3 linked regions of the Caenorhabditis elegans genome follow. The protein of the gene in region 1 purifies or fractionates together with the protein of each later gene. This does not show direct contact. Each region holds a gene or a part of one and is shown in the gene's direction. Other genes may lie near its edges.

Evidence for each region. Proteins that work in one complex are often made in the same cells at the same time.
Region 2: the proteins of snrp-40.2 (region 1) and F46G10.1 fractionate together in Caenorhabditis elegans (co-fractionation; one large-scale study listed by BioGRID). This does not show direct contact.
Region 3: the proteins of snrp-40.2 (region 1) and F13G3.6 fractionate together in Caenorhabditis elegans (co-fractionation; one large-scale study listed by BioGRID). This does not show direct contact.

What each region holds. Positions count from the first base shown.
Region 1 is NC_003279.8:4,190,246-4,198,434, forward strand, and holds the start of snrp-40.2 (WD_REPEATS_REGION domain-containing protein), read left to right. Parts: upstream 1-2,995; 5' UTR 2,996-3,002; coding exon 3,003-3,080; intron 3,081-3,690; coding exon 3,691-3,789; intron 3,790-4,178; coding exon 4,179-4,276; intron 4,277-4,465; coding exon 4,466-4,631; intron 4,632-5,341; coding exon 5,342-5,464; intron 5,465-6,265; coding exon 6,266-6,386; intron 6,387-6,721; coding exon 6,722-6,804; intron 6,805-6,853; coding exon 6,854-7,019; intron 7,020-8,189. Other genes in the region: cas-2 (C-CAP/cofactor C-like domain-containing protein), read left to right, coding at 51-175, 228-420, 967-1,592, 2,434-2,778.
Region 2 is NC_003284.9:13,308,570-13,315,358, reverse strand, and holds F46G10.1 (BTB domain-containing protein), read left to right. Parts: upstream 1-3,603; 5' UTR 3,604-3,632; coding exon 3,633-3,704; intron 3,705-3,784; coding exon 3,785-3,843; intron 3,844-3,887; exon of another isoform or gene 3,888-3,894; coding exon 3,895-4,006; intron 4,007-4,228; coding exon 4,229-4,354; intron 4,355-4,891; coding exon 4,892-5,059; 3' UTR 5,060-5,132; downstream 5,133-6,789. Other genes in the region: srxa-8 (G_PROTEIN_RECEP_F1_2 domain-containing protein), read left to right, coding at 6,514-6,622, 6,670-6,783.
Region 3 is NC_003279.8:7,301,643-7,308,692, reverse strand, and holds F13G3.6 (Glycosyltransferase 2-like domain-containing protein), read left to right. Parts: upstream 1-4,002; 5' UTR 4,003-4,005; coding exon 4,006-4,125; intron 4,126-4,175; coding exon 4,176-4,449; intron 4,450-4,496; coding exon 4,497-4,750; intron 4,751-4,822; coding exon 4,823-4,992; intron 4,993-5,043; coding exon 5,044-5,181; intron 5,182-5,230; coding exon 5,231-5,348; 3' UTR 5,349-5,393; downstream 5,394-7,050. Other genes in the region: mrpl-13 (Ribosomal protein L13), read right to left, coding at 175-447, 655-741, 785-949, 1,484-1,576; F13G3.7 (SLC (SoLute Carrier) homolog), read right to left, coding at 1,997-2,113, 2,273-2,344, 2,391-2,543, 2,591-2,690, 2,740-2,863, 2,909-3,131, 3,179-3,496, 3,537-3,551; Inositol monophosphatase ttx-7, read left to right, coding at 5,724-5,801, 6,004-6,140, 6,254-6,358, 6,467-6,621, 6,666-6,786.

The sequences.
Region 1 (8,189 bases):
ATTAAATAATTGTTCTCGAAATTATAAATTCCAAAAAAACTGCTTTTTAGAAACTCCGGTCGACGCGACGCCTCAAATCATTAATCTTTATGACGATGCGATCTGTGAGAATCTCGTCTCGTTTTATGATTTATCTGCAAAAATTGGAGGAGATTTGAATCGCCTTGGATGCATGGTAAGGAAATATATAATATTTAATTCAAATTTTATCGAAAATTATGTTTCAGACTAGGAGTCTATTTTTCACGCATCGATATTTTTTGTGGATTGCGTGTGGGCGCAAAAAGGCGGACAACGACGAGTTCGCGACTCTTGTGAACGATTTGTCGAAGGAAATTGTTGCATTTTCCGATTTCAAGGAGAAAAATCGAAAATCCGAATTCTATAATCATATCTGCGGACTTGAAGCTGCGGTTGGAGGTGAAAATTTGCCCCTGATTCCGAATATCTATGTGAAAAACTCTTCATTATTTTATATATTTCAGCTTGAAATCGCTTGTTCATCCATTACTTTTTTCAAGCACGCGCCATATTCTCATTGGAGCGCGCCGTGTTGTGTCGATTTACGAAATTTTCCAATTTTTTCAATTTCAGTTTAAACGAGTTTCCTTAATTTTTGTGGGTTTTGCTTTTTGTTGAAAATATGAAATTTCGCGAGTTTTATGATAATGTTCGATTGACCCAAAAAAAAGTTTTCGAAAAAAAACAATGGAAACTCGTTTAAAAACTGAAAATGGCATGAAAATTGTTGAAAAAATTTCGTAAATCGACACTACTCGACGAGCTTGAATGAGAAAAAAGGCAATTTTTATCTCAAGGGTGTCGGTTTTTTCGAAAAATATCTTTTAATATATATTTTTTTTTCTTTAAAAAATTTGATTAAACTTAGATTTTTTTCGATAATGTTTCGGTTACACCATTGCTAAATCTGTAAATTTGAAAATAATACACTCCCAATTATTTCAGGTTTCGGTTGGGTTGCTGAACCAAAAACTCCTGCTCCATTCATCAAAGATGCTATCGATACATCAGTCTTCTACCTAAATCGTATTCTTATGGAGCACAAAGGAAAAAATGATTTCCATTCGGAATGGGCTAAATCTATCAAAGAACTCATGCTGAGTCTTCATGAATATGTGCGACAACATCACACGACTGGTCTTGTCTGGAATTCGGATCCCGGTGCGACTCCGATGTGTAACAGGAAAAGTGGAGGAGCTCCAACGCCGCCGCCACCACCACCTCCACCAATTTCATTGATTGCGCCTTCCAAGCCTTCTGGTGTCGGTGCTCTACTGGAATCTCTCAATACGGGATTATCGGCTACTAGTCGTTTGAAGAAAGTCACCCCTGAAATGCAAACTCACAAAAATCCGGTACTTCGTGAGGTAAATGGACAGATGAATCGAAAAACTGAAGAAAGAAAGGTGAGCGAGAACAAGAAACCGGAGAAAATTCACGAATCGAGCATTTTCTGGGATGGAAAGATTTGGAAAGTTGATCATCAAGTTGGTAATAAGAATGCCGTCGTTGAAGTTACGGATAAGAAGGAATCGATTTATATTTACAAGTGTAACGATTCTATTATCAAGGTTAATTTTTATTCGATTATTTTTTCGCAATTTCACACAAAATGGCCGGTTTTTCAAGGCTTTTATATTGAAAATCAGTGTCAAAATATATAAAACCTTTTTAATTTTTTAAATTTAAAAATGTAATTTATTTCAGTTTAAAAAATAAAAACTCGGCCACTTTTATGCTTTTTCTCAGATGTTTTAAGTGGAATAAATTTTATTTTCAGATGAAACAAGTCATTTTTGACACTAATTTTTAAGTTAAACAAATTGTGGCTATAAAAACGTAAAATTTTCGGTTTTCCAGAAAATCGAAAAATTTATCAAATTTTGTTAATGTTGATGGAAAAAAATAAAAAGAAAACATATACATTTTTTTCTGAAAAGAAGAAAATGACCGAAATTTTTAGATATTTTTCGAGAAATTGAAGCTTTTTCGAAATATCTGAAAAACTAGAAATTGAAAAGAAACCAAAAATTCCAATTACGGATTTCCTGTTTTCCATTTCCAAAGAAATTTTTAATGTTTCGAAACTAATATCTTTAAATTCTGGTAATTTTTCTGTTTTTTTTTTAGATAAAATTGATATGTTTTCTTATTAGTTTTTCATCAACATTAACAAAATTTTAGAATATATATTTATGTTTGATTTTCTGAAAATTGTTTTCTTGAAAAAATTCGAAAAAACCGACACCCTTTTCGAAATATCAGAAAAACTAAAAATCAAAAAAATATGACGAACATTTTCTGTAAAACGAATTTTTTTTTCGATTTATTAGAAAATTGAGAAACTGACACCCTTAATTCTAATGGATAAAAAAATTTATCAAAAAAGAAAGTCTAAAAATTAAATTACAGATCAAAGGAAAGGCCAACGCAATTACATTGGACGGATGCCGTAAAACTTCAGTCGTATTTGATGGTCTTGTTGCTCAATGTGAAATCATCAATTGCCAATCAATTCAAATTCAAACTCTCGGAGAACTTCCAACTGTTTCGATTCAAAAAACCGATGGATGTCATATCTATCTGTCACGTGATGCTTTGAATGCTCAAATTGTTGCATCCAAATCCAGTGAGATGAACATCTCCGCGATGTTGGAAGATGGAGACGATGAGTACACGGAAATGGCATTGCCAGAGCAGTTTATGACGAAGATTGTTGGAAAGAAGCTTGTCACTGTCGCATCTGAAATTGTATAATTAGCTTTAAAGTTTTAATGCATTCTCCGAATATCTCCCTACTATCCCTCATCTCTTCCTCCTGCTGGATCTCGTTCTCCTATCAAAAAATAAATTATTTTCTGTGATTTTTCTCGTTTTTTAATTTGTTTTGATTAACGCTGATTATTAATGCTTCAAGATATTGGAATATTTAGGAAAAAGCAAATAATCTGAAGCCACTTTCCGAACATTACAGGTGCAAAATGGCGATGGTAATCCCAGCTCGCAATCAAATGGCTTCACAATTTTTAGAGTTACCCAAAAGGACTTCAAGCTTGATGGTTTGATTTTTAGAAATTTTTTGTTTGGGAAGAAATTTGGCTTTTTCGATTTTTTTTTGTTTGAAAAAAAAAGTATTTTGGAATTTTTCGTTTTCTCTCGATTTTAAAAAAAATCTAGCTTTTTCGAAAAAATAGCTTGAATTATATTTTAGATTTTCCAGTGAATCAAAGAAAAAATTCGCTGAGAAATTGTGAAAAATTATTTTTCAAAAATTGAGAAATTTATGAAAACATTGAAATTTTTGAAAAATAACTAAAAATTTTGCTATTTTTCTTTTTTACAGAAGAAATTTGTTTTATACGAAAAGATGCGCGCCTTTAAAGAGTACAGTAAAGAGTACTGTAAAACTGCTGTAAGAGTACTGTGTACTTTAAAGAGTAATATAGTACTCATCAACATGAAAAAAATTGTAACAATTTTTGAACTCAAATTTTTTTTCCGATTTTTTAATTTTTCGTAATTTCGACAAAATTCGATAAGACAATATAAAATTTAAAAAAATTTTTTTGGAATTTTTCGAAATCATATTTTCAGAAAATCGAAAAAACCGCCACCCTTGTTAGAATTACAAAAAATTGCAATTTTTCGACACAAAAAAATAAATTTCAGGCTCCAACAATGGTTCTTCAAGGACACGGAGGAGAGATTTACACGTCCCAATTCAGTTCGGATGGAAGTTTTCTTGCTAGTGCCGGATATGATCAACAGGTTTTTTGAAATTTGACGTTTTTTACATCAAGAATACGGTACCCAGGTCTCGACACGACTGGTGCTTTGTAAAATGCGAAATGGTGTGTGCCTTTAAAAAGTACTGTAGTTTTCAACTTTTGTTGCTGTGGAGTTTTTTTTAAATAAAAATTAAACTAAGAGCTTTTATTGTTATATTTGACTTTCCTGATAAATAAATATATTTCTTTTCGTAAAAATTATAAAAATTCGATGAGAATTCCGCAGCAACAAAAGTTTGAAACTACAGTACTCTTCAAAGGCGCACACCTTGTCGTGTCGAGACCTGGTACCGTACTTTTGACGTAAAAATCGCTTCCGTGTAGCAATAGAATAGCGTTTCACTGAAATTACACTTATTTTTCATTCAGATCTTCCTGTGGAATGTGTTTGGCGAATGTGAGAATTTTGCAGTTCTCAAAGGGCACAAAGGAGCCATTATGGAAGTGAAATTCAACGCGGATTCGAGGTTTCTTTTCTATTTTTATTTTTCTGATTTTCAGCGTCCAAAATAAATCCCGAGGTTTTATTTTCCGTCAGTTTTCGGTACAATTTTCATGAAAATTTGGAGATTTTTTCGCGTTTTGGACGCGGAATTAAAATAGATTTTATTGAAAAATCCATCCAAATACCCAAAAAAACTTTTCCAAAATTTCAGTCATCTTGTATCTGCTGGAACCGATAAAACCGTTCGTGTCTGGGATATGGAAACCGGTTCGTGTATTCGAAACTTCAAATCTCATACCGATATTGTCAATTCGGTTGATGTGAATCGTCGAGGTCCTCAAATGATTTGCTCAGCGTCGGATGATGGAACTGTCATGGTATAAAGATCTTAGTTGACACGAAAATCGGATTTTTCCAAATAAAAATACATTTAAAAGAAATTGAAAACTTCCAATTTTAAAATTTTTCTCAACTTTTTTTGATACAAAAAATATATATTTTAGCCACAAAAAAACGAAGGATTCTAGAATTTATATTGTGAAAGGAAATTTAAAAATGACTTCTTTTTTTGAAAAATTTGAAGTTTGAAAGACGTTTGAGCAAAAAAATTTCGCAAAATATTTCGTTGATATTTTTTGAGCCATATTCAATAACAGAAATTAGGTGCTTGGAAAGTTTTAGATTTTTCAAAATTTTCAGTAAGAGTTTTGGTAAATTGTCAAAATGCGAAATATGTTGTAACCCTAAGTACAGTTTTCAAATAATAATTAATATTAACATAAAATAGTTCTCGTTAAAAAAATTTTTATCGACTTTAAAAAATTACGATAGGCGACAACTAAGTAATTGCCACTTTTTTAACAGAAATAAAATATTTCTAAATAATTATTGGAAATATTTACAATGTTTTTATGCAATTTAAATCGAGCTTTAATAATAAAAAAAGTGAAATGAAACTGTCAAATTAAATTATTCGAAAATCCTGAAATACACTCTTATAATTGTGCAATTAAAAATCTTAAATACCACTTTTAAAATTCCATAATAAATTTTAAGTTTTTTTTTTCATTGAAACGAATATTTTCAGGTTCACGATATGCGGAGCAAGGAAGCGGCGAAAAAGTTTATCTGCAAATACCAACAGACGGCTGTCACGTTCAACGATGCCGCGGATAATGTTATTTGTGGAGGAATTGACAATCAGATTAAGGTTTTTTTTTTTGAAAATTTTAACACAAGGGTCTTCACAAGAAATTCAAACCCTGAACCCATGAAAATGCGGTTTTTTCATTTAAAAAAAATTTATAAAAGTTGTTTGAATGTAGAAAATAAATTTGGAAGATTTTTGAAAAACTGTGTACTGAATAGCCGCTGAAATTTTTGTGGTGACCGAGTTTAACGAAATAATGACGTCACATTTGAAAGTTCCGAAAAAGTGCAAACATAAAGACTATTGTAGAATTACGACTATAGTCATTACTACAATAACCCTAATAGATTCCATTTGGCTCTTTTCCATTCATTTGCCCTCCAAGACCAATTCTAGTAAAACGAAAGTGGAAAGGAAATGAAAAATCTGTCGCTCAATCCTTTTTCATCCAATTAATACATGGATGACGAATTTCCGGTTATTTAAGAAATATTTTGAAGAAGAAGGTTTCTGGAACTAATTGAGAATTGGTTTTGCAAATTTGTAATAAATTCACTTTTTAAGATTTTTTGAAATTTTAGGAAATTTAGAAATTTTAGAAATTTCTTTAAATTCAAAAGTTTAGAATTCTTAAAATTTTTTATATCAGAAATATTTTTAAATATTTGGAATTTTGGAAATTTTAGAAATATATAATATTTTTGAAATTCACAACTTTTGGTAATCTACACATTTTCAGAAATATGACAATTTTAGCATTTTTTGTTCAAATTCCGCAAAAACTGGGTTTTTTTTAAAATTTAATGTTTTTAATGTTCTCCATTCCAGAGTACGAAATTTCCCAAAATTCCAAATTTTCAGGTCTGGGACATGCTCCGAAATGACGTCAGATATGTGCTCTCCGGACACCGCGATACGATCACTTCTCTTTCTGTCAGTCATAATGGAAACTTTTTGCTTTCCAACTCGATGGATTGTTCTTGTATGTATTACTACAGGAATAAAAGATAATTGGAAAAATTGAAAAAAAAATTTAAGAAAACTGGCAAAAATTGAAGATTTTCTCAAATTTAGTTTGTGAGAAAACGAAAATGGAAGAGAAAAATTTTTTCAAAAAAAAAGAAAAATGCCAAAAATCTGAGCTATTTTTCGAAATTTTCCAAAATAATTTTTTTTGAAAGTTTTGAAAAATAGTTAAAATTTTGGCATTTTTCTTCTTTTTTATAATACAATTATATTATCTTGAATGTTTTTTCTCATAGAAAAAATTTGAAAAATTAAAAAACATTGAGAAAAAAAATTAATTAAATTTTTCAGTGATGAGTTGGGATATTCGACCATTTGTTCCTGCTCAGAGGCTCGTTGCCAGATATCAAGGAGCTTCGCATAATTTTGAAAAGGTTTATTTTTTGAAATTCCTATATATTTTTTCCAAATTTATGTTTCCAGAATCTTTTGAAATGCGGCTGGTCTCCACGCGACAACTACATCACCGCCGGCTCTGCGGATCGTTTCGTCTATGTTTGGAATGCAAAATCGCGTGCATGTGTCTATAAACTTCCTGGACATCTTGGTTCCGTCAACTGCACTGCTCTTCATCCAACTCAACAGATTCGTGAGTTTTTTTTTGATATTTTCAAAATGGTTAAAACTATGAAACTATTGGAAAAATATGGAAAAATTATCTCTTCCAATGCAGTGTGTCGATTTACGCAGCTCGTGTAGCTCCCCGAGGAAGAGTGAGAATTTATTTTCAAAAAGTTATAAAGTATTTTGACTAAACTACTTGTAAACCTGAAAAATTCGAACTTTTTCAAAAAAATTAAATTTTCGATTTTTTTTTTGGAATTTTTTTTAATTTACAAAAAAAACATAAATGGCCTGGAATTCTAGGAATTTTTTTTTCAAATAATCTGAAATTCTAGATTTTTTTTTGAAAAATCGAAAAATAATTCTCAGAAAAAAAACTAATAATTTCAAAATTTTGTTTATGTTGATGAGAAAAAACTAAAATATAAATTTCTGCTAATTTTTAAAAATTCGATTTTTTTTGAAAAATAGGAAAAAAAATGTTTTTAATCGAAAAAATATTTTTTAAAAATTAATAAATGACCGGAAATTATTGGAAATTGGAATTTTTCAAATAAAAATCGAGCAAAAATTTTTAAAAATTCAAAAAAATCGTACATTTTCCTAATTTTTCGATTTTCAAGAAAAAAACGAAAATTGCGAAGTATTTTAGCCAAAAGCAGTGAAATCCTAACCAAAAAAATCATAGTACACTTCTCCTCGTGGAGTACACACGCTGCGTAAATCGACACATGACCGTGTTACAGGTTTTAGAACTAGGTCACGGCCATACCTTCATTTTCTAAAGCCCTTGAAAAATTCAAATTTGCACCCGAGAACAATGTGTTTACGGTTATTCTCGCATAAAATGTTTTTTTTTCTTCCCCAGAACTTTTCCCTTTTGTCGGCTGGTGAGAAATGTTTATCTGACGCGTGTTTCCAAGGTCATATCAAGTCGTAAACTTCTCAAATTTCTGAGTTACGGTGTCTTTTGCTCTGTTTATTTTGGAAGCGGGGGGAGACTATTTGAAGAAGTATAGGTTATTGAGGAAGGAAGCTGGAAAATCTGTCAATTACAATTGCTGGTCTTCTCTGAGCACTTTAGAATTTGAAATGTCTTAAATTTCATTTTCTACATCGTTTGAAGAAATCTGTAGGACTTGGCACTGGGACTGAGATCGTAGCGAGACCCACTCAGAAAATCAGCAAGTACCTT
Region 2 (6,789 bases), on another chromosome or scaffold:
TTCAAAGATATGTGACAGCGTTGATGGTTTAATCATTTGATTTGTTTCGGTGCAAACAGATGAAAAACAGATGCGTTAAAGAATGCGCCCATTTTTGTTAATGAATGAGTCATATGTCATATGTCAATTTGGCAAACGGTACTATTTTTGACAAATTGTCAGTTGATTTGAGATATAGAAGGCCGGTTTGAACAGATTCTATGACAGGCAAAAACCAAAAACAAAAAAAAAACATACTAGGGAATATGTTTTATTGGAATTTTGAAAACACTATGTATGGATTTATTGGAATTGTTATTATAATAGCAATAATAACAGTAACAAAACTTAATTAACTAGCTTGGCTAATTAAGCAGAAATGTACTTGCAGCGTTTGTTATCAGAATGCCAATTGTTAGCAATTTATTTGAATGAAACTTCCGGTGTCATCTGACACGAGCATGTGAAAAATGAATGACCCAGTTGGCAAAAAAATTTTGTCTAACTTTTGTCCATATGAATTTCAATGTGACAAGACGTTTTACACATTTATATTACTCAAAGTGATCATAATTTTTAGATAAAGTTTCAATTTTTAATACAAATTCAAATTGGTAGAATTGGTAGAAAACTCAGAAACGTTTGAAATGTTCTGCTAAATTTTTTGTCATTTTTCAACATGCTTTCGGATTCCTTAAATTAAAATGTTGTTGTGACATAAAACGTGTGGCATCTAGCATGAATGTTTCCCCTGGTTTGTTTTTCCAAAAAACAAAAAAAAAACACAATCTCATTTATATTTTAACGATTTAATAATCGATTCAAAGTCCACCAAAAAATTGACATGACTTTTATCCATTTAAATATGCCTGATAGGAACAATTCTCAACAAGAATTATTGAAATCTGAATTTCTTGCTGGAAATTTCGGAAATAATTGTTTCTCAGTAGAAAATGTTTCCTTTCCATTCTATCCAACACCAATAAATCAACAAACAGTGAAAGAAGCAATGCAATGAAATAAAATGACTATGAAGAAACAATTGCGTGTGGCGCGTTTACAGTGCCTTCGGAAAGATACTTAGAAGAGAGTGCGGGAACATATTGCAAGAATTGAGGGGAATTGAAAGAATCAGGAAGCAAATCTCATTAAGCATACGCCCAGATAATGCATAATGGTGGCTTGGGTTCCAGGCAGTTATAGGAAAAGTAGGCAAAGCTCTTGAAGAGAGAAGTGAAAAAAATTATCTGTGCAATTCTCAATGGTAATTGCAAAAAATAAAAATGTCATTAATAAGGCAGGTTTGTAAAAAACAATGTTACTACTTGCAAAATATTTCCACCGATGCAGAATTGAAATGTTGTCATTTTTAGTATCGACACCATGAAAGTTGAATTTTGCTAACATCTCAAATTATGTCAATTTTTCGTTATCCCAATCTTTCATCTTTATAATTTATTTTGGTCCCCTAGTTATCTAAAATTGATTTATGAATAACTGAATAACCCTAGATTGACATGAAAACGCATACTAAACTGATAGAAATTGCATTATTTTTTTTTTGAAACTTTTACACTTCCCGGTTCATCCGTTTGTTGGTGGTATAATTTCTGTTTAAAAAAACACTTTAAAAGTTTTTTTCGAATTTTTATGGAGTGAATATCTTTTAAAAGTAGTGCAAACTTTGTTTAAATGGACTCCAGCAACAAAAAGTAAAAGGCGAATGGACACTGAAGTAAGTTAATTATCGTTTTAGTTTCGGTTTTTGAAATGGCTTCTTTCAGAAAAAAAAAACGCACTCATATCCTAAAAAGTGTTTTTCATAATAAACAAAAATTATAGTTTCTTCTGTTTTTTTAAATATAAATGTCACTCTAAAATTTTAACAAATTGTTCAGGCAGTTAAAGGAGGACTAACGGTTCGGACGATTTTGAACGTATCGACCCAAAATGGGCCCAAATGAACGAATTTTGTAATGAAATTGCTCAAAAAATTTTCAAAAATGTTTTATGGCGGTTCAAAATTTCGAAAAAATGACACTGATTTTAGCCAAAATCTCGAATTTTGCCCATTTTTCCGTGTCACATCTGTCCGAAATTGCTTTTATCATCCTTTATTGCAAAAATCATCAAAATTGGTTAGCTATCGGCTTTAAATGTACCTTAATCAAGGAAATTAAATGAGATAAACTACCAATATATGCAATAAAGGGTGATAATTCCAAAAAAGCAATTTCGGACAGATGTGACACGGAAAAATGGGCAAAATTAGAGATTTTAGCTAAAATCAGCGTCATTTTTTCGAAATTTTGAACCGCCATAAAAAATTTATGAAAATTGTTTGAGCAGTTTCATTACGAAATTCGTTCATTTGGGCCCATTTTTGGCTTATACGTTCAAAATCGTCCGAACCGTTAGTCCTCCTTTAAACATAATTTCGAAATCAAATATTATTTTTGAAAAACATGAAAATGCCAATCAAAATCTCATATTGTTTCGTTTGGTGTACGGTAACTTTTATTTTTGTTGTTTCAATTTAGCAGCCTTGTTTTAATCAAGAAAATAACTCATGAAAACGTGAAATTAGTTATTCGCACTTCTCGTGCGAGATTAAACAAGTGACATTTTTGCAAATAAAAAATTATTTTCGAGATTAGATTTTCGGCCAGAAAAGTTTTACGGCGGTATAAAACATAATTTGATAGTGCTGCAGCCGCACATATTGTGAAGAAAATAACAAAAAAAAAACAAAATAATTGCCAGTGAAATATCAATTATAATTGACTTTCATTTGACTTTATGATCTGGAACATCTTGTTATCGTCATTGAGCTGCAAGCTACTCCTGAACAACTTTCGTAGTTCTGAAATTGCAGGATAAATTTTTTTTCAGTGAACATACATAGCAGACTGAGCTGTTGGCACGAAAACCGGCAACTGTCGATTTTTTTCCTACCGCTTGTTCAAAAACTGTGAAAAAAACAAAACTTTAAAAACAGAATGGCGCCAGTTAGAATAAGCATACAAGTGCAAAAATTACTATTCAAAAAATGAAAGGTTGTGTTATTTTGAGAGTAGTCAAGTGGTGAATGAATACTTCAATTAAATTTTGAAATTATACGCAAATCATGCGACGGCACTGACCAATCAGCGTTACGTAAAGGAGACGACATACTTCGGTGATTGGTTGGCGGTTTCCTGAATAACACGTGTTTCAAAATTACATTGACATATTTACGGTTTGTCCAAATTCGTAAAATTGGCACTCTTGATCATATTTCTTTGCCTGTTTTTTTTGGCATTTTTCAGAGCGAGCTTCAAAAAAAACTATTCAAATTTTGCCACGCTTTTAATATTATTCACTTTTTCATTTAAATTTTAGATCAATTATAAATGGTTATTATTGAGTGATAACAATATACTTTTTCTAAACACGAATAAGATTTTTTTTTCGAAAATAGGTACCTTTATATGTTTCAAAAGTGTTGAATCACACGTGTTGCCAATCTGAAAATGGGATGGTATCTTCTTATTGACACAAGGTGAATTCAAAAATTTTCCTAACGTCACTGATAACACAACCGACCATTGAGTTTTATTACCTCGATTTTCACTTGCTCGCGTTTTTCACAGGACACGCAGGTTTGACTAATAATGCTAGCTAGAGCTTCTCTTCATTCAAATGGTGTGGATATGCATACCGCTGAGTATGCTGATTATAAAAAGGTGGGTCTTGAAATTGATTCAATTTTCTAATAAATTGTACAGCTAATGAGAAAATTGGAGTATTATAAAACTATGTTTAGGCTGAAGTCACATCTCATCATGCTCGAGACATAGTGCATATTAACGCAGGCGGCACAAGGTTAGTTGGGAATTGAGAACATGAGATCTGAGAATTTAACGAAGGCTTCAGATTTACTACACTTTACGACACTTTGGCACAGTCAAAGTCGTCATATTTCCTCAACTTTATCCGCATCGACCGCACCAGTGGAAAAATTGTGCTTCTTCAACAGAGAACTATTGTGGGTGACAATCTAGAAATAAATATACATACTAATGAGGATGCAGAATTTTTTAATTGGAGACTATTAGGTTATCTAGAAGCTAGCTGAAAGCCTAAATCCTACTGAAAAAACTTCCAACAATTTTTACTTGTGCTTTTTTCAGAATTATTTTTCTGAATTTCAAGAGAATGCTTTTAATCCTCATAGCTCTCTCTAAAAAAATTTCAATACAAATTTCAGCGTGATGAGTCAGGAGCAATCTTCGTGAACCGGGACGGGCGTCTGTTTGCATTCGTTCTGCAATTTATGAGAGACGGAAAGAACACTGTCCTGCCAAAAGATAAAGACGTGTTAGCACAGCTCAAAGTAGGTGTTTCATGTTTAATTTCATCGCCTTCTTAACCATGCGTTGTCATTGATAAGCACAGTTGCTTGTTTACTAGAGGTACACCGAGGTGTGCCTTGTGTTTTATGGGTATTTATGTGTTGGCGATTGTGTGTCACGAATATTGGTATACCTAATCAATTGGCATGGGTAGAGAAAATTAAGTTATACAATTTAGTCATGTGCAGTTACTATTTTATGATATTGTTAAGGAAAAACAATATGTTTTGAAAAATTGTTTTTTCCAGGAAATATCATTCAAAAATTAATTCAAAGTGCAATATGGAAAAAAAACCAACAAATACAAGATTAACACTAATGTCAACTATGTCAACAATCATAAAAAATAGAAACTATGAGATTTATGCAAAAAATGTGTAGCATACATAAGTGTGTATATTAAATGAATCTTGAAACACCAAATCAATTTATTGAAAACAATCACAACTTTTAATTTGAAAATAACTCCAATGATGTATGAATTGACAATACATATAAACTTCCCTTATTTTTTCCAGCGAGAAGCAGACTTCTTTGGCATGGAGGTATTCAAGTACCTAATTCAAGAGACACTTGTTGACATTGAAAAGGAACAACGTGCCAACACCAATGATATTGTGGATATTCGCAATTCGGTGAACCAAATTGCGAACAACACGTACTACAATAATGGAGGACGCATTTGAAGTTTACTTCCTCTTTCTGAATAACTTTGTTAATGACCATGAAATAACGGAAATAAAGTGCAAAATTGTGTGTACTTCTGAACGAACTTGTTGAATTTGGTGTTCGTTGAAAATTGACTTGGGGGATGGAGTAATCATATTCAAATTATTTTTAGTGATCCTTGTGAGAACATTTGAAACCAAAAAGATGTGCTTAAAATTCTGAACACTTTTAAATTAAGAAAAATCGGTAGAATCGAGTTATCGAAAATCAAAACGTCTTACTAAACTTCAATTACATTAGCCATAAAAAACTATAGAAAATATCGATTTTCAAAAACTAAATTATATTCAATCTTTTACAGATTTCTGAAAACCAAGTCAAAACTGATAAAAGATACAACTCGGAAAATTGCTCTAAATCAGCAATGTGGAGAAAAATATTTCGTTTAATATTTTTGATTGGGGGGGGGGACTTTATTGGTTGTCCTGAATCTCTCTCGAAAGTTAGTTTCCTCGCATAAATTAGTCTTGCGCTCTTAATTAGCATTGTTTCTGAGCAATTTTTTGTGTCTTGAAGCCTGCGTCGCTGCAGTTGCAACTGAAAACTAATACAGATGTTTTCGTGTACTGTTTATTTTTTGCCTGCAGTTAAAATAGATCTATTTACTTGTTTTGTGCAGACTTAAAAAAGTAACAATGTTCTGTTCAGTGTGCTCAATAGGTAAACAACTTTTTTTGAAAGTTTGTTGAAAGATACTTAAAAAATTCGAGCTCCATGTGAACATGCGCTATGAAACGTTATCTTGCCATGAATTAATCGTTATTATTATTAAAAATTCTTTTGATTTTTTTAAACTTTTGAAAACTATTAAAAATACATAAACATTTGCAAATATTTTGCAATAAAACTCTTTAAGACTTAAGTTTCTACGACTGCAGTTAAAACTATTTACAACGAAATATTTACAAGATGTGACCCGGAACCCGGAACATTTTGCCACGTTTAATATCAAAGCACGATCATTGAGCACCATGTTGACCAGCATGGTACGTGTAATATTTTTACACGCTTCGTTGGAGACAAATTACATGATGAAGTTTATTTATTTTGATAATCAACCAGTCGGATAATTTCGAAAATATACGATTTTGATCTAAACCCAAATTTTTCAGAATGTGCGCAAGTTCAGTTTCAGAGGTTCCGTTCTACTTCCCTGTACATTTTTTTTTCTGCGAATCACACTATTATATCTAACTCATAAAACCCTTTATTTAGTGGGCGCTTTTGCGAATAGGAGAAATTGTTCTCAGAATCCAATAGTTTCGAACACATTTTTATCACTGTCACGCAATTCAGCATGATTCAATTTCTGTCACGTTTTTCTCGCATTTCAGTCTATATCCCTTTTCAGCAGTTGTGACTCTACATTCTCTCCTAATCGAATTTGAAGCGTTCAACAATTTTCGATAAAATGACACCGAAGTATCAACTGTTTTTAATTTTTATGATAATACTTCAAACAATGTGCATGCTTTACAACATTGTGCTCCTCACAGCAACAATAATAAATCGTCGGAACGGTAGTTTTTGAATTTTAGGAGTCAATTACATTCAATTAATTTTTAAGCTGCACTCCCACTGGCCTATATTGTTTTAATGAGCATTCCCGGAATTCTAATTACAGTTTTCCTTAATGTTAATGTAGCTGCTTTTGCCTTCCTTACTGAGGAAGAATATGAAAGTGAGT
Region 3 (7,050 bases), 3.1 Mb from region 1:
GGTTTTCAAAATTTTTTCTCTTAATTGTTGTTATGAATAGTTTTCGTGTTAATTGAATATTTTCTTAATAGTTCTTATATTCATAAAAATACCAACAGAAACAATTTCAACAAAAATATTTGAAAAAAAAGGAAAATTAGACTACAGACTCTACAAAATCCTACTCGAGATCATCTATTTATCCTTTTGTCCGGGCACTGGTTTCACATGTCTTCCCGGATTTGGAATGCTTTTCTCCCAATCAACGACATGCTTATCTGCGAATTTCACAACTCTTGGGAAGTTTGCTCTCTCTTCTGCCGTATATTCATCACTTCGTTTCACAACTCCTTGAACTTGTCGCAGCTGACTTCCAATATTTTTTCGTACAAATTCTGCCATTTCTTCATCTGGGAATAAATGTAGGCGTTGGATGTGACGACGTCGGAGAAGATTATTTCCAAGTGACTGAAAAAAAGAATATAACCACCGCGTACTTCAGGTGTTCGAATAGTTTATATTAGTTATTGCCAAAAAATTGTTTTGTTTAATTTTCAGGTAAATTTTAAAGACATTTTTAACGTTGAATAAATCATTAGATTATTTTTTTTTCAAAAATACTTCAAAACTTAAAAAAATTGGATGACATAAATTACAAAATAAAAATACACTCACCCTATAAACCGATAAAAAAGCTATTCTGCATTGATCGTAATCGTGAATCTGCCATGCTGGAATATCAGCTTTACTTTTTGGATATTCCTGCAAAAGAATTGATAATTTCTATAAAAGCAGCAAAAATCACCATATTGAACTTATAAATTGTGTGTTTCCAGTCAAATGCATGCATTGCAATATCTTTGCAGTTTGTAACAACTACATGATCTCCACAATCAGTTTCTGGATGGAAAATTGGTTTGTGTTTCCCTGCGAGATATCGAGCAACTTTATCACCAAGAAGTTCGGCGTCCTGGAATTAAATATGAAATAAAAATAAATATATTCATGTTGTTATTATGTTTTTCTGTTATTCGAATGTACATTTTTGTTTTCTGGTAATTTTTTTTTACAAAAATGGACTTTTTCGATTTTTTTTCCAGATTGTTCAGAGGAAAAAATTGAAGAGAGAATGCGATTTTCTGTAGTTTTCAAGATTAAAAAAATTAAACTTTAAAATAATCGTGCCAAATTGGGTTTTGGCGGACTTACGACATTATAATATAAGTGGAAAAAACTGAGTAATTACTACAATTTGCGTGCTAATAAAATAAATTCAGGAATTTTTTGAAAAGCTTTACTATTGTGTTTGGTCATTGTTGAATTATTTTTTATCAGTGAGCAATAATTTGTATTATTTGAATAACTATGTGTATTAGAAAGGATTGCACTTATATTATTACTTAACACTTCCATTTGTCAACAACATGTTTTCCCATTTGATCGTCGACATGTTTACGTTCAAACATTCAAAAAAACAAAACAAGAGGCTTAAAGGTATACATACTTGTTGATTCGCATCAATCACGTGCCATTGTCTCGAAAACTGCAGCCATTGGTTAACACGGTCAAATCGAGAAACGGCACGCCGGTAGGACATCTGATTGTTTGTAAATGATTTTCAAAATGTAATTTCAACGAATAAATGATATAATAAAGATATTAGAGGAAATTTACCTCAAAAGGAAAAATCAAAAAGAAAAAGCAAACATCAAAGGATTTATACTCGAAAATGAGAAGGGACCGAACCAGAATAGTGAGAAAAAAAAGAATATTAAAGAAACAATTACAAAAAAAAAAGAAAAGTTCATAGAACAGAATTCGAAGAGAGCGGAAAGAAGGAATTTGGGGTGATATGATCACACAAAATTTACAATTTTGGACAGCATCTAATAATCTTCTAGGAGAAACGAAAGCGGTGTTGCATTGCTGCAAAATAAGAAATCTTAGATTATTTTTTTGGATGAAAGTATGAATACACGTGTGTGAGCAGTAAAAATTCGAAAATGAGCAGGTGCGATCACCAGACGATTTTGTTTTTAAACTCGGGCAGAACTGAGAACCGTTTGACACTTTCATAGGCAAGCATTACAAGACTTGAATAGAGAGCATTATTCACCATACGCGGTGCGAGACCCTGAAATATTAAAAACATATATAAATGTATTTAACTAATATTTTTCGTGAGCTCAGCATATTTTACGGATACTTATTTGAAGCAAAAAAATGGTGTAAACATGTTGATTTCTGAGCTCATTTTCTAAATTTGGTATATCTTGATTTGGCAAAACCATACCTTGGTGAATACTTGTGCTTTCTCATACTTCCATAGTCTAACAATCGTTTCCCTGTACGTTGTTCGATGAACCTGAAAATATTTTAATTTCATTGAATTAGATTACTAAAATTCTTACCTGTAACCGAATTCTCAGCATCTCCAATGGATTTGTAACCATTGCACTAGCGACTCCGCCAATAGAACCGCTCACAGCTTGGTCCAGGAACAAATTCCGATCATCAACTTCGGAAGGAGATGTTGGTTTCACTCCATATTCAAGTTCAGTGACCTGAATTAATAATTGACTTAATTCAGTTTAGCATAACTTTAACCTACTTTTTCACGAATCATTCTGAACACTGCTAATGAATTGTAATATGTAGACCAGAAAACCATTGTTGAAGGAATATACAACATGATTGCGGATAGGAATCCTCTGAAATTTTAAAATATGTCATAATTGAAACTGTAAAATATAAAAATACCTATAAAAACCGAAAATTCCATCAACTTTGTACACGGCCCTGATAACTCTCAAACCTAACGTTCTTCTGCCTTCGAGACCATCTTTTCTGATTGCATCTGCTACTGGTATATTCTTCTCTCCACCTAAATTATATTCTTCAGAGCAAACATTTCAAAAAAGCGATTTACCTCCAAATGCTTCTGGATTATTATGAACCATCATATGTTGAGCCACAATGTCAGTTGGTACAAATATTAGCTGTGCACAAGGAGAAGCGATTCCTCCGGCTAATGCAGATACCACAGAGTGATTAGTAATATGAAGATGGGTTTGAAGCAAGTCTCTGACTCTTTCATAAGCTGATGAATATAAAAATGAAGCTGACAGCTGGGGAAGTGTCATCCAGAATCCCTGAAATATTTTAAATTTCAATAAAACATCCGGTAACTAAAACTAACTTTATACAAAGCGCCGATTCCTTCTTGACGAATGATTTTAACAAATGCATCTCGCATTCCGTTATACACATTATTTTGTCTCTGTAGTTGTAGTCTGCTCTTCACAACAGACATTGGATACAGCATGCACCTGATTGTCCATGAACTGCACAGAGCCATTGGATAGAATTTGTACAAGTTGAGATGTTCCCATTGAATTACTAAAAGCTTGTCCTTCTGTATTTGACTCAGTGGAGATACTTTCGAGTTTAGCGGGGATGTTGCTATTGACCGAGCCTCAATCGCGGTGTCCATTTCAGACGAAACCATCTGTAACATCTTATGAACATTAGAACTTTTAATATCGGATAGAGCATACCTTTGCGAACCGCATGTTCTAATTTTAAAATCAAATAGTCGATCGTTTGGTCTTCAAGGCAAAAACGAGCAAAGTGTGAGAATCGGCTTAGAATTGAGCATCACCTGGAGAGTTTTTTCGAAGGAACTTCAAGCGGATATTTTGATAATCTGACTAAAACAGGAAAATACGTATTTTTTAAAATTTTATAGAAAAATAGACAGATGGAGAGAAAAACATCAACAAAGAACGAGTAGTTTAAAAATGTTCACCAACAAAAAAGAGGCACCGCATTACGGCGAGGGAGTGTGCTATTGAGAGAGACACAGCGTCGTAAGAACGGAGCATCGTAATGCGCCTTGTTTATTTTTATTCAAAGTTTAAAATTCCATTTTAATGTTTTGTTTTCCGTTTTCGGTAACGCTCTTTCAGCTTTTATGAATTTTTTCGTTTTATAGTTGGTTATTGTTCAATTGAATGTTTATAGGGTATGATGAACTATCAATATGACGTCTCTGTCATAATTCCAGCCAAAAATGTAGAAAAGTTCTTGCGGGAAACACTCAACGGTCTACTCGACCAGACAGCTTGTGAAAATTCAAAAATTGAGGTTAGAAATGCGTATGGTTTTGTTTCTTCTAATTAATAAAAATATCTCAGATTTGTTTGGCTGACGACGGGAGTGTAGATGACACTGTTAGAATTCTGGAAAATGCGCGGCTCGAGTTCGAAGAGATGGGAATGAATGTCGTTGTTACACACGTTCCTCAACCCGGTGGAGTTGGTGCCGCTAAGGATTGTGCTGTAAGATCTTCGAAAGGAAGATATCTCTGTTTCAATGATGCAGATGATGTCAGCTCTCCGAACAGAATCAAAAGCCAATTGGAGTTGGCAACGAAGTTATCGAAGTCTGGAGATGATTTAATTTTTGTAGGTGAATAAATTGAAGTTAAGTATAATACGATCCTAACTGTTTGTTAGGTGGACAGTTTCATAGACTACCAGAAGGCTCCACAACAAGATACACAAAATGGGCGAACTCGATGATCGGAGACAAAATCAGAAGTCAAGTCTACACATCTCATGGTCCCACGCTCGTTGCTCCTACTTGGTTCATTAGTAGAGCACTTTTCGATAAGGTTGGCGGTTTTCGAACAGATGTTTCGTGTGGTTTTCCTGAAGACTTAGAATTTTTCTACAAGTGCTTGGATTTCCCGGAGTGTATTTTTGATAAAGTAAGTAAATTGGCAATTTTAGCTGGAAAGTTAGCTTGAAAAAAATTCATTTCAAAATGTGTGTTATTTCAGGTCGATGATGACATTGTCATGTACCGATACCATAAAAACTGTGCATCACACAGCGTTCAAGAACAAACAATTTGGAATTTCCGTTTATCGAGATTAAAAGAGAAATACATCGCAAAATGGGACAAATTCACAATCTGGAGTGCTGGGAAGCAAGGAAAACGTCTTTTCAAGTAATGGTTTATGCTTGAAAACATTCTTTCAACATATACTACATTCTTTAGAAGTCTCACAGATGACGAGAAGATCAAAGTCAGAGAATTTTGCGATATTGATGAGTCAAAAATCGGGAGAGGTGTTCATGAAGAGTTTGATGAAGTGTCACGCAGTGTGACTCACAAAGTTCCAATTGTTAACCTTGAGTATGTCTTCACTTTCTCAGTTTCTTACTAAACGTATTATTTGTTTTAGAAATGCCAGGCCTCCGCTCGTCGTTTGTGTCAAATTGGACTTGACAAATGGTGATTTGGAGCGTATAATTGAACGAAAAGGCTGGAAAGAGCACGTCGACTTGGTTTACTTTGGTTGACAGACTGCTATCCGATACTTGATATAATAAACAATTTATCCGTTTAAATTTTGCATTTTGCGTTGTCTCATTGGTTCTCAGTGACTCCAATGTACTTTGATGTTGCAAATTTTTGTGTCTGGTCATTTTTCTCCCTCGTCGTTATCATTTTTCCTAACAGAACATGGGAAGAGATTACTAGGTGTCTCTGCGTCTCGTGTCTCCGAGTGATCTCTAATTTTCTCGCTCCGTCTGCTCGCGTCGTTGGAAAAACGACTCTGGCGCGAGTTAGTTTTCCTAATAGACGGCTTCTCCGTTTAGCTTCTTTAATTTATTTTATTGTTTTTCGGCAAAGTGGTTCCCTTCAGCTCTTTATTCATTGATTTTAAGTTTTAGATGGTGTTCCAACCAATCCACGAGGAAGAGCAAGTTTTCGTCGACTACGCCATTGAGTTGGTTAAAAAAGCTGGAACGGTGAGTTGAATTCGGATTAAAAAATCAAACTGTTTCCTAAAACAACAACGTCGTTATTATCTTTGTCTTATTTTTGTTAATTTTACAAATATGCACATTTAAATCAAATGCGTAACTCGAAAAACAACATTCTCTATTCCTCAGTTACGAAACAAATTTTATTATTTGAAAAAACATCAATATTCGAAAAAAACATTTTCAGCTCGTCCGTACCGCGTTTGACTCCCCGGAAAGCAAGGTTGACACAAAATCATCGAATACTGATTTGGTGACTGAAACTGACCAAGCTGTTGAAAAGCTTCTCATCGAAGGGCTCTCCGAGAGATTCAAAGGACATAGGTAAGAGCAAGGAATTCCCACGGTCCGCTCGATTTCACTCATTGTCTCCATGACAACCAGTTGGACTTTCTTTTTCAATCGAGTATTTACATAAATTTACTATTTTGATTCAGATTCATTGGCGAGGAATCTGTAGCCGGAGGTGCGAAAATTGAATGGACTGATGCACCAACATGGATTATTGATCCGATTGATGGAACTACTAACTTTGTTCATAGGTAAGATTTTTTTTAAATCGGACTCTTCAAATAATGGCAAATCGCGTTATTTAATTTCTAATTTGGACTCAAATTTTTCTCGAAAAACAAATTCTTATGTTATTATAGAATCCCTATGATCGCAATCTGCGTTGGACTTGCAATCAAAAAACAAATTCGTGCTGGAATCGTATACAATCCAATCACTAATGAACTTTATCTCGCTCAACTCGGAAAGGGAGCTTTCAAAAATGGATTTCCAATCCGAGCATCAAAGAATCAATGTAAGTAATTGCACTTTTCTTGTCATGCACCCTGCTTTTTGAAGTGCTTTCAAAGGGAGTTCTCTGTCAATCTCTCGGTCTGCATAATCGTGTTCAGTTCGGCGATCGCTGGCTCGACATTGCCCAGTCAAACATGCGAAATCAAGTGATGGCTGGTGTGCGAGGGTTTGTTTTAATTTTTTGGTCTAAAATTGATTACTTTTTTACAAAAAATATACCTCCACACTTCCCGCGCTGGTTTTGCACGTTTTACTTTCAATTTTATTTACATTCACATAGAAACGTTGCAAATTCCAGTCATTGCGGAAAGTGTGCTCATACTTCAACTTGGCTCAATTCGATCTCCTGTTATGCAGAAATCATTTGTTGATTCTTACAAGACTGTTATGTTCGACAAACAATGTCACGGGTACTTATAAATATTTTTTA